Coturnix japonica: one gene and its partners. The protein of the gene in region 1 interacts with the protein of each later gene in a pairwise test. Links are inferred from orthologs where the notes say so. Each region holds a gene or a part of one and is shown on either strand. Other genes may lie near its edges. The genes, in order: CTNNA3, JUP and PKP3.

Region 1 (3,669 bases):
ACATTGGAAACCCAACTAGTACATCATAACAATTTTTTTTTTTTTTTTTTTTTTTCCCATTCTGGAAATTATTTTTTCATGTATCATCTAAAGGATTAAGGAAAAATACAGTCACTATTTTTGTTGCTTTTATAAAATCTGATTTACTCTCCCTGTACTGACTCAGTAGAGCTATTAAATAATTATATAATAAATAAGAATTTAAGATCAAATAATAAAACATTCTATTACACACTCTCAGCAGTGCCTTATGTCTTAGAAATCTCAGGTGTCATGTGCATGTATTTTACAAATACTCATCCATTCTGCTTTGTATTAATACATTTTTCTTTTCTTTTTTTTTTTTTTTTTTGAAGGCAATGGGCCTTTGCATTTAATGAAATTGATAGGCTGTTATGCTCTGTTTGCCAGTGGAGAATAACATACAACAGAAAGAAAACAAATTTGGTGCCAAAAGATTCAGTTAGAGCCTCATGAATCCTTCTGCTGTCCAGTTCAGAAGCTGGTCTGAGTCACTGCCTTGAGACAGAATCTGGCATGAGACCAGAATGTATGGGAAAACAATAGCCTTGCTGAATATTATAAATAAGCACTAGAAAAATGAGTAATGGAGTATTTCATGTCATTTAATTGTTCAAAATCAATTTTAATAAAGGCTTTTAATTTTTTTCTTTCTTCTTTTTTTTTTTTTTTCTTTTTATTAAATATCTAAATATCTGTGTAGCTGTGCTCTTGTATATAGCTTTAAGGCTGCCCATCCCCCTGCCACCATTCCAGCAGCCATTGTGTCCTGTCAGTCATCCTGAAATACACTAGAGTGCTTGTCAGGCAGTCCCTTGCAGATGCTTCAGAAGCCAAATAGTGAGCCAAATCAGTTGCACTGAAGCTCCCTAACACAAGGATATAACATAGGCAGTTGCTTTAGTGCTGAATATGGACCGTTTGTATTCTAGCATAGGTGAGTGATGTGCTGTTAGCTTTCTACTGACTTAGCAGGAAATGGATTCTAAACTTCTCTAATTTCTGCAGAATATCTTTGGCTCGGCTTTCTAATGCTAACTGGTTGGTCTGTGTCTGCATACAGTTTACTTTCACATTGATCTAAGAAAGTGCAGGTACTGTGCTCAACTGTCTTGCAAACTGTTGGAAACTATTTTTCATAGTAATATTTTTCTTAGTCCATAGCACTCAGTATTCTCAGTTTGGACACATCTGCTGACAGGACAAGTTCTTATTTTAAGTTTGCAGCACTTGTAGAAGAGTGCAGGTAGTTGCTTTACTGGATGTTTGGAGACAGAAGAACTGTATCTGGTGACACGTGCTTAACGTCCTAAGTGCTGTAAAAGTTCCCCGTCTACAGTGCTGAAATTGCCTACTGTAAAGGTTAATATAACCAAGTGTGAGGTTAAAGCAGCCTTTTAACAAAAAATCTTGCAGTCAAGATCTGTACTGTATTTACAGGGCATGTTCTTATGGGAGTAGGTATATGCATGTCAAAAGTAAACAAAAATAACAGCAAACAAACAAAAACAAGTAAAAAAGTCCTCCAAACTGTGATTTTTAAAAAAAAATTTTATATTTTTTCCCCCCATATTTTGAGGAAGATATGAAATTATCTAAAAATCTCTCCCCTTAATTAAGAAGAGGAAATGTCAGGAAAAGGTCCAGAATCATTTTTTACTGCCTGCGTATTTTTCCTTGCCACCCTCTTGTCTCTATAATACTGTAATACTTGTCTCTATTAAAAACAAAGAAACAGAGATCAACCCCAAGAACCTTTTATTACTAATATGATAAAGGATACTGACAAGAGTCTGGTAAGTTAAAGAAGTGGTAATGGTGTCAAAATAATATAAAATTTTGCATTTTCACTGCATTTGTTTGCAAGTGTATTTTCCTATTCTGTCTGCTTAAAAAGAACATTGTAATTATACTTGTGAGAAAACAAACAAAACTCCCAAACATCTACAATTTATAACAAAGTCTTTAGGTAGGTTATCTATACCTTAGAATATAATTTAAATTTTCAGGAACAATAAAGCAAAATTTGCCATTGATTTTCAATTAATGCTAATTTATTGGCTTGACCTAAGGCAAAAAACTATTGTAGATTTCAGAAACCTGAGTGAGCACTGGAGCAAAGAGTAAAAATATCTGCATTAGACAACGTGCTAAGGTTTAAAAACCTACAAACACAGGGAAGATGAATTCTCTGCTCATGGAGGTTTTTCTGATTTAAAAAAAAAAAAAAAAGAATTGAATTTGTAACACAGTATAAATTTGAGATGGTTCAGTGGGAAAGATCTAATCACTGTAGACGATATGTAGTATAGGAAGGTGGGCTGAGAGAAAGCAGGAAGCTCTTGCTGCAAGCAGCAAAGGTCTCATATTTGAACTTTGAGTGAAATGGCTAGTAATGCCCTTCTGCCAGTGAATCGAGTGGAAGCCTCTACAAATTTAAAGTATGGCTATATGTGAAGAAAAAATAACCTGACAATCTTGTGATTTTTTTTCAAATCTCAGTAGAAGCACTAAGTGTTGTTTTCAGCCAACCTACTTCCTTTCATCTGATTTTTAACAGGTCCAAAAGGAATTCACAGTAGAATCAATGTAATCTATTTGCATTTGTTGTGATGTATTTTAAAAAAAAACCTCACATACTGGGAAGTTTCTGCAAATTATGTCAAACACAAGAATTGTGAACCAGCAGTGTAATTAAAAATCTCAAGTCTTATTAAATCTACTTAATGGCTACAGTGAGGTGGTAGGAGTGAGAGACAAGATCTGTATGTTTGCTTGAGGGTTTGACTACATGACCTCCAGAGTTCCTTTTCAACTGTATGATTCTGTGCTTCTGTAAATAGAACTTTATCATGAGGAAGGATATGCAGCGGTTTGAGCTAGGAGAAGAGCTGCAGCTCCTTCAACTAGGAGACAACTGAATTTTTGTACTGCTGAAGAAGGAGAGGGATAAGTTACATTGTTGTCTTTAAGAACACTGGGAGCAGTCTACTTGATGATTCACTGAACAGAAAGAGAACCACTGACATGACTAATTTTTGGTGGCCCAAATTTTATTTCCTTGGCTTTTGTTACAGATGTCTAAGAAACAAATGTGTAGAACATGGTGAAATGATTTGCAGTGACATTTCAAAAGTTGTCTTTTTTTAAAAAAAAGTTATATGGAAGGAAAACTGAAGTTGTCTGTTTCATGTCAGGGCTGTTCACTTTTTATCTGTTGACTTGTAAATAGAATTAAAACTGAAGAATCAGTTCTTTCCATATATTCTCACCTGATTATGAGCAACTGAATCTGTGGAAACTTAGGGCTCTAGCAAGTGTATTTTATAATGAAGCAATAAATTTAACACTTGTATCACCTTTATTGGTGATATTAAGTTTGGTAAAATCTTGAAGTACTTCTAACATTAATTCTTTAATTATCATTCATGCTATCATTGCCTGCAAGTGGAATGTGGATATCTATTATAAGACAAACAACTTGGTATAGAAAGCTTAAACCTACTGCGTAGTATTAGATCAATGCTAGGTTCACCAGGAGGTTACAATATATCCCTTCAGCCTGCACAATCGAGCTACCTTATTACTTTATTATACAGCATCAATGGTTGTAATAAGTCCTGCTCAAAAACAGACAGATATCCATTA
Region 2 (3,747 bases), on another chromosome or scaffold:
GGGGGGAGGAGGGGGTGATGAAGCACACACAGCATTGCCCCCCCCACCACTGGACCCCAAAGCTTTGGGTGCACTGCACCACCCCTGCAGCATGTGGGCCTCGGGAGCACTGAGCAGAGCAGGCAGCAACACGCCAAGCGTGGCATCCAGGGCTGTGCTGGGCCGTCCTTGAGCTGGCAGCACAGGATGCAGCTTTGGAGCACTCTGCAGCTCAGCTCTGGCCAGCAGCACTGTAAGCACAGATGTGTTTTTAAGCTGCTTAGGTCAAGTTTTAAGACTTCTTTGGCAGCCTCTCCCATGCACAGACAGCGTGCCTGCTCCATCCCCAAACACCCAACCCTGTCCCTGGGAAACGGGGTAAACCCAACCCTGGTGGAGCTGGAAATGCTGCATCAGCTCAAGTGCTGCATCCTCCAGGGCTGACTGCGAGCCAGGCGCTGCCAGCAGGGCACAGCCCCGTGGGGGACACCCCAGGTCCCAGGAGACCAACTGGGACCCACAGCTGCCACCCAGACCCCATTTGCTGCCTATCCCAGGCACAGCCCTAAAGCACCGAGGTGGGAAAACACCACCTAAAACAAGAGTCAGAGCTGGCAACTGTGCCACAAGAAGTCCAAGGCAGACTTGCAGTGCTTCAATAGAAATGAAACTTCTTTTTAACTCCTGCTAATTAGAAGCCAGCCTAATTTCAAATTTCAGGAGCAGCATGAGCTGTGGTACAGACACCTCAATTAGAGCCCTGTGAGCTCCCCATGCAGACCCTGTACTGCAGCCCCACAGCGCAGCTCCTCCCTGCGGGCTGCCAACTGCACCCCCCAACCGGCTGGGGGTCTGATGGGGGAACAAGGAAGGATTCCCAGGAGGAGGAGGGCAGCACCCGACCTTCATGTACAGCTCAGAGGCGAAACGCTCCGTGGTCTCCAGGTGTGAACAAACCACGGGCAGTGGTGCCAACGGCACAGCCCACGGGGACCCACATGTGGACGGGGCACGAGGTGCTTCATGCCGGCATCCCCGCTGTCCCCAGGGGAGTGGCTGCAGCACCAGACAATGGAATGGGAGCCATTGTTTGTGGGGGCGGGGGGGGTTGGGGCGGCCTGCAGCCCCCCCCACGCTTCCGCCAGCGCTTCCCCACCGCCGGAGTCGGGCAGCTGCAGCTCAGCCCCCCCCAGCAGCTCCTCATCGCCCAGCGAGCGGCACCAGAACCGGGGATAAAACGACCCCCGGCCACCGCCACCCGGGCTTTGCGCAGGCGCGTCCTGTGCCCACCTGTTAAAGCCGAGTTCGCTGCCAAATGGGTTTTTCAAACCACTTTGTGGAAATCCTCCAAAGCGGTGAACAATTACGGCCTTCGGAGGTGGAAGGACCTTAATGGCTGCTCCGCTCCGCACACTGCCCCGCCGCACGCCCACAAGGACACGGGAGGGGATCCGCGCCCCCCACCGACGGACCAAACTGCGGGTGGGAAGGGGACGGAGCAGGGACAGAGAAGGGACGGAGCAGGGACAGCCCCGGAGCGGGGACAGGGGGGGCCCGGGGATACCAGCACCGGGGAGGGCACGGCAGGACGCGGGGACAGCGCTGAGGTCAGCACGGCTCCGTCCCGGCCCGGGCTGCGCCCCGGGAGCCGCCCACGCTCCCACCGCGTCCCCCCGCGCACAACCCACGCCTTCCTCCGCGGGCAACTCCCAGCAGCGGCCCCGCGTCGTGCTTTAATCTGCGCCGATTAATTAAACTAATCACCCAGCGAACGCAACGAGAACGTGACGACGATACGAGCCGGTCGCTCCCCGCTCAGTTCCGCTGCCCCGACGTTCGGTGTCAGCGCGGCGGGATGAACAGGAGCCGCTTCATTAACCCCCCCGTCCCCGTTCCCCTCCCGCAGCCCGTCCCGCTCCCCGGGGCTGCTCGGGGCAGGTGAGCGGCTCCGCCGGAACAACCACCCGGGGCAGCGCCCAGCGGCAGCACCGGAACCGCACGGGGCCGGTTGGGCCGAACCGAACCGAGCCCGGCGGTGAGCGCAGCCCCGGGGCTGCTCGGGACCGGTCGGACGGGATGAGCGCAGCCGGGCGCGGCGCTGCCCCGGGGGGGGGGGGCGGTAACAGCCCGACACCGCGCGGAGCCCGGAGCCCCTCGATGCCGGGACCCCCCAGCCCAGGCCCCCCCCCCTCGCCCCCCGCCCGCCCCCCCCGTCTCTCACCTCTCCCGGTTCCCGCAGCTCTGCCGCCCGCCCCGCTCCCGCACGAACAAAAGGCGAACGGCGCCCCGCCCCGCCTGGCCCCGCCCCTCACAGCGCTGCCCGCTTGCCATTGGTTCTTCTTCCCGTCCGTCTTCGCCGCTGCTGACCGGGCCCCGCCCCCTCCCCGTGTTTATCCGCTCGCCATTGGCGGGGAGGAGACCGCCCCCCGCGCGCCGGGAGCTGATTGGGCGGCGGGGCGGGGCGGGGGCGGGGCGAGGGCGGGTGGGGAAGGGCGTGAGCGCACCGAGGGCCCACCTGGGTGACGTCACGGGGCGGAGCCGGGAGGGTTCGAACGGGACCGAACCGGGTCGGGACAACGGGGGGAAAATGGAGGGGGGGAAAATGGAGGGGGGTAAATGGAGGGGGGGCGGGGGGCGGCACTGCGGGTCGGAGCGGGGGAGACACGCAGCTGGAGCAGGGCGGGGAGCGGCAGCGCCCATCCCACCCCATCCCATAATATCCCATAATATCCCATAATATCCCATCCCATCCCACCCCTCCCCATCCCATTCTATATCCTATTCTGTCCCCATCCCATTACATCCAATTGTATCCCATCCCATCCCATCCCATCCCATAATATCCCACCCCATCCCGTCCCATCCCGTCCCGTCCCGCCCCATCCCGTCCCTTCCCTCGCCCGCGGCTCACGCCGTGATTCAGCCTCTCGGTTTCAGTCACCGCAGCCAAGTCCCGGCGGAGCCTCGTGCTGCCAACAGCTCGACGGCCGCCAGGCACAAAGCAGCGCCGTGGCTGCACCAGCGGCCGCCCAGCACCCACCGCCCGGCCTGGGGGTCCCGACCCGACCGACCCCCCCCCAGATGGTCTTTCATGGCACTTGTGTCCGTCCCGATTTGCTCCGGGCAGAGGCGGCCGTCAAAAGAGCGGACCGAGTTTTATTCCAAGTTCAGCACCAGAACGTTTAAAATACAAAATAAACGAGCGAAAAATATAAAAGCGAGATGGGAAGTATTAAATTAATGGAGCTTAAAGCTCTGGGGGCTGCTGGGAGAGAGATGAAGGCACTTGTGGGGCAGAGGTGGTGACGGGGTACAGTGGCACAGGGATGCCGTGCACCAGGAGCAGCACCCAGCACCGAGACGGGGGGAAGGGGCGGCTCTGGGAGCTGCCGGTGGGGGTGGGCTGCTGCCAGAACCAGCACCGTGCACAGAACCCATAAGGCAGCACAGGGGTTTGCTGTTGGCCCCCTGGTCAGTGGCTCCTGGGGGAGCAATGAAGGGGCACAGCAAATCTCAGTGCTGCTATGGAGCGCTACTATGGGGCTCCCAGGGACATCGGGGCTGGGGGGGCTCAGGGGGCACCAGGCAGGTGGTGGCACAGTGGTGCGGCTGCTCCTCGGATGGGAATTATGGCAGCATGTCCCTGTAGATGGGGCAGTTCTGCTGGGAGCACTGGGCAGGATCAGCCCTTCCCAGTGAACCCGTGTTCCCGTGCATGGAGCAAGAGCCTGCAGCCTGGAGGCCCCAGAATGGCACCACTCGGCCACC
Region 3 (3,645 bases), on another chromosome or scaffold:
GTATTATTGTTGTTTCTTTGGTAAATCCCAACTGATTTGGAAAGCAAAGCAGGGAGGGCCCAGCCATCGCGCCCTAACAGTGGTGGTGGGCTCTTGTAGGACGTGGCGTAGGGCTTTATCAGGGAGACTGCCTGGTGTTGGCTGGGGGCCTCTTGGAGGTCTAAGGGCTCTAGGGGTCAATGGGCAGTGAGTCTGGGTGATAAATGGAGGGATGTGGGGCTTTCCAAGGGGGGTCTAGAGATGCAGGTGAAGCCACGTGGGAGTCTGGGGGAGGTTGTTGGTGCCTGTTGCTCACTAGGGGTCCGTGTGGAGGGCGGGGGTCAAATGGAGGCTGCAGAGGGTTTTGGGTGTTGATGTGCAGGTTAAGCCTCAGGCAGGCTGTCAGGAGAGGCCACGCGGTGGTCCAGAGGTCAACTCGGAGGCCACACGGAGGCCTGGGGCTTTTGTATCCTTGGGTCTTTTGGGGTCTGTGGGGGATCCAGCCCCAACAGTGTATCCAGCTCCCATCACTGTGTCTGTGGGCACCCCATGGGGCTCCTTTGGCCTTGAGGGGGGCCTGCGTTGCCCCCATGTCTGCTCAGGTGTGCGCGGCACTGAGGCGTGGCGGCGGCGGGGCGGGCCGGGTGCCTCCCTACAGCACAGGGAAGGCTCCACCGCCGCGCACACGCACACATACACACACACACCTGCATAGGGCGGCCGTGCTCTGCTCAGCCCCTCCGCCGTCATGCAGGAGACTAATGCCTTCTTGCTGTCGGCCCTGCAGCCTGAAGCCGGTGTTTGCTCACTGGCTTTGCCTTCAGATCGCCAGCTGGACATTCGCGGCCGAGAAGCAGCTGAGGCCCAGCGGCTGCGCAATGCTCGCGTCCAGGAGCAGGTCCGGATCCGCATGATGCTGCGGGGACAGACGGCCGCCTCGCACCCCGACACCGCCACGCTTGACCCCATGGATAGCAGAGGTGGGAGATGGCGGGGCGGCTCTCTGCGGGTGGGGGGTTCCCGTCTTCCTTTGATCCAAATGGGGGCTTCCTACGCTTGCTTCAGCCTGGGCTGCTTGTCCCCAAGCCTCACTTTACCCCATGAGGGTACTGGGACCCCATGCCCCACTTTGGGCCGCTCTCGTTGGCTCCTTCCCTGGGCTCTCGGCGCTGTCTCGCCTTGCTGGCTGTTCTCCAAGTGCCTCCATTTAACATCTGAGCTCACGGCCTCCGCCCTGTTCATTCGCCCCATTGCGCCTCTAGCTGCGCCCTAATGATGAGAGAGCCCCCCCGGCACCATGCACCCCAATGTGGATGTCCCCAACCTTTAGCTGTCCCTGCTGTGGTGGCATCCAGGTGGCAGTAACCCAGTGGGGCTAGGACACAAGTAAGCCTTGCAGCAGAGCGTGGCTGGCCCCCTGAGCCCCTGTCCCAGCTGAGTAAGGTCAAAGGGAGCTGTGTTGAGCCCCCACCAAGCTAGCAATTACTGCTCTCGCCATTGGAGCATCCTTGTAAGGTGGAGAAGCTGTGGAAGGCGTGCTGCCCCCTCCACAGCCCCTTCCTATACCCCATGGCTGTAAGGAAGGCCCTTCTTGAGCACTCTGGCTCTCAGCCCCCTATCCACCCCCCTGAGGGCAGCAGGGTTTATCCCAGTGTTTATCCCAGCTTGCACAGACCAGTGTGTTATCTCCCATCTCCATCCTGCAGGTGGTCCATATGGCACGACTGTGCGCTCCTCCTTTAGCTCCCGCTCACAGACCAATGGCTTGGACTCCAAAAGCTCGGTATGTCTGAACCAAGCACACATCTCTGTGCTAGCTGGGGATGGCTTAGACAGCCTAGTGTTGATAGACAGCTTAGTGTTGACTTACGTGAAGGTAGAAAGGCCCTATAGATGGATCTGGAAAGGCTGGATCAATGGGTGGAAGTTCAACAAGACCAAGTGTTGTGTTCTGCACTTCAACCTGCACAACAACCCCCGGCAGTGCTACAGGCTTGGGGCAGTGGAATGCTGCGTGGGAGAAAAGCATCTGGGATTTAGTTGACAGTGACTGAATGTGAACCAGCATTGTGCCCAGGTAGGCAAGAGGGCCAATAGTTTGTATCAGCAGTAGCACAGCCAGCAGGAGCAGGAGGCGACTGTCCCCTTGTACTCAGTTCTGGTGAGGTTACGCCATGAGTATTGTGTTGGTTGTTTGGTCCCTTACTATGAGAAACACATAGAGGCCCTGAGGCATGTCAGAGAAGGGTAATGAATCTGGTGAGGGGGTCTGGAGTGCAAGTCTTATGGGGGAGCTTGGATGGTTTTGGCTCTGTCCTTTCCTTTTCCTGTGGTGAGGATGAAGGAATGTCTGTGTTCACCCTCCCTTAACCCCATGCTTCCCCCCTAGCTGTACCAACCCATGGCCAAAAAAGACTTTGGCACACTCAAGGGCAGCAGCTGGTCATCGCGGTCAGCTGTGGACCTCACGCCAAACAAGAGGATGGCAACTGTCAGCAACGGGGTCATGCCGAAGGGCCGGAGCTACGGCGTGGGCTATGCCATGTCACAGGCTGCCAACACCTCCCCACGGCCCAACTCCTTCCATGAGCGCAACTACCGGGCCCGGCAGAGCTTTGACACGCTGTCGCTGCGCTCCCTGCGACTGGCTGATGGGCCACTGCCTCCCAGTGCTGCGGATGACCGCTACAGTATCATCTCAGAGCAGCTGGACCCCATGGGGCACCAGTCCCTCTATAAAAACCAAGGCAATGGTGGCTTCAGCCGCTCGTACACCTTTGAGAGGCGGATGAGCACTGGTTCCAATGCAAAGGGCTCCGACTGGTTGGATGGCGGAGAGGTGCCCCAGAGCCGCACCATTCGGGCACCAGCCATGCGCACGCTCCAGCGCTTCCAGAGCAACAACCGCTCACGGCTCAGCACCAGCTCCTTTGGCAGCATCCAGCCGTCCTCACAGGCACCTGTTGGGAGTTCCTACATGGGCATGGTGGAGCACAGCTCCCGTGCACCCTCTGTGCGCAGCCTGGCTGAGTCCAGCCACCACCTCCAGGACCAGCGCGCCATGGATATTTACAACGGGCACAGCACGCTGCTCACACAGCAGTCAGGAGGGTGAGTGCCAACCAGCCCTGTCCCTTGTTCTCATGAGTCACTTGGCTGGTTTAGGATTAAACTCCCTGGTTGTTGCTTGTCTGCAAGGGAAGGAGGAGGAGAAGTGAGGTGGTTGGCATAATTTGGCCTCACCGTCATGGAGTGTGGTGTGAGTTCATCTTTAAGTGTGTCCTGCATATGCTTTTAGGTCCTAATGTAAAACCATCCTGAGATGTAGAGGTGGGAAGGTGCCTGCTAAGCCAGGAGGAGTGTGATGAGGAGGGAGATGGGTTGGCATGTCTCTTTTGAAATGTGGGTTGTGGTGGGGAGCAGAGATGGAAGACCTTTGGGGGTGTCTTTCCTTTCATGTGGCTTCCAGGTTTGATGACATTGACCTGCCCTCAGCGGTGAAATACCTGATAGCCAGTGACCCCAACCTACAAGTCCTGGGTGCTGCCTACCTCCAGCACAAGTGCTACAGTGACAGTAATGCCAAGAAGCAGGTAGGCACTAGAGGGGAAGGGTCTCCTGAGCCCCTCTGATATGGTGGGGCACACCTGGGAGGATGAAGGAAAT

The links.
Region 2: the proteins of CTNNA3 (region 1) and JUP interact in binary tests that used the Homo sapiens proteins (3 or more experiments, as listed by UniProt). The link is inferred for Coturnix japonica from reciprocal best matches to the Homo sapiens genes CTNNA3 and JUP.
Region 3: the proteins of CTNNA3 (region 1) and PKP3 interact in a two-hybrid assay, tested with the Homo sapiens proteins (2 studies listed by IntAct). The link is inferred for Coturnix japonica from reciprocal best matches to the Homo sapiens genes CTNNA3 and PKP3.

The regions. Positions count from the first base shown.
Region 1 is NC_029521.1:8,414,798-8,418,466, reverse strand, and holds the start of CTNNA3 (catenin alpha-3), read left to right. Parts: upstream 1-827; 5' UTR 828-933; coding exon 934-958; intron 959-3,669. UniProt on the Homo sapiens protein: May be involved in formation of stretch-resistant cell-cell adhesion complexes.
Region 2 is NC_029542.1:4,306,060-4,309,806, forward strand, and holds the start of JUP (junction plakoglobin), read right to left. Parts: upstream 2,299-3,747; 5' UTR 2,201-2,298; intron 1-2,200. UniProt on the Homo sapiens protein: Common junctional plaque protein. The membrane-associated plaques are architectural elements in an important strategic position to influence the arrangement and function of both the cytoskeleton and the cells within the tissue.
Region 3 is NC_029520.1:1,340,199-1,343,843, reverse strand, and holds part of PKP3 (plakophilin-3), read left to right. Parts: exon of another isoform or gene 1-727; coding exon of another isoform or gene 728-766; coding exon 767-959; intron 960-1,685; coding exon 1,686-1,762; intron 1,763-2,368; coding exon 2,369-3,090; intron 3,091-3,448; coding exon 3,449-3,572; intron 3,573-3,645. UniProt on the Homo sapiens protein: A component of desmosome cell-cell junctions which are required for positive regulation of cellular adhesion. Required for the localization of DSG2, DSP and PKP2 to mature desmosome junctions.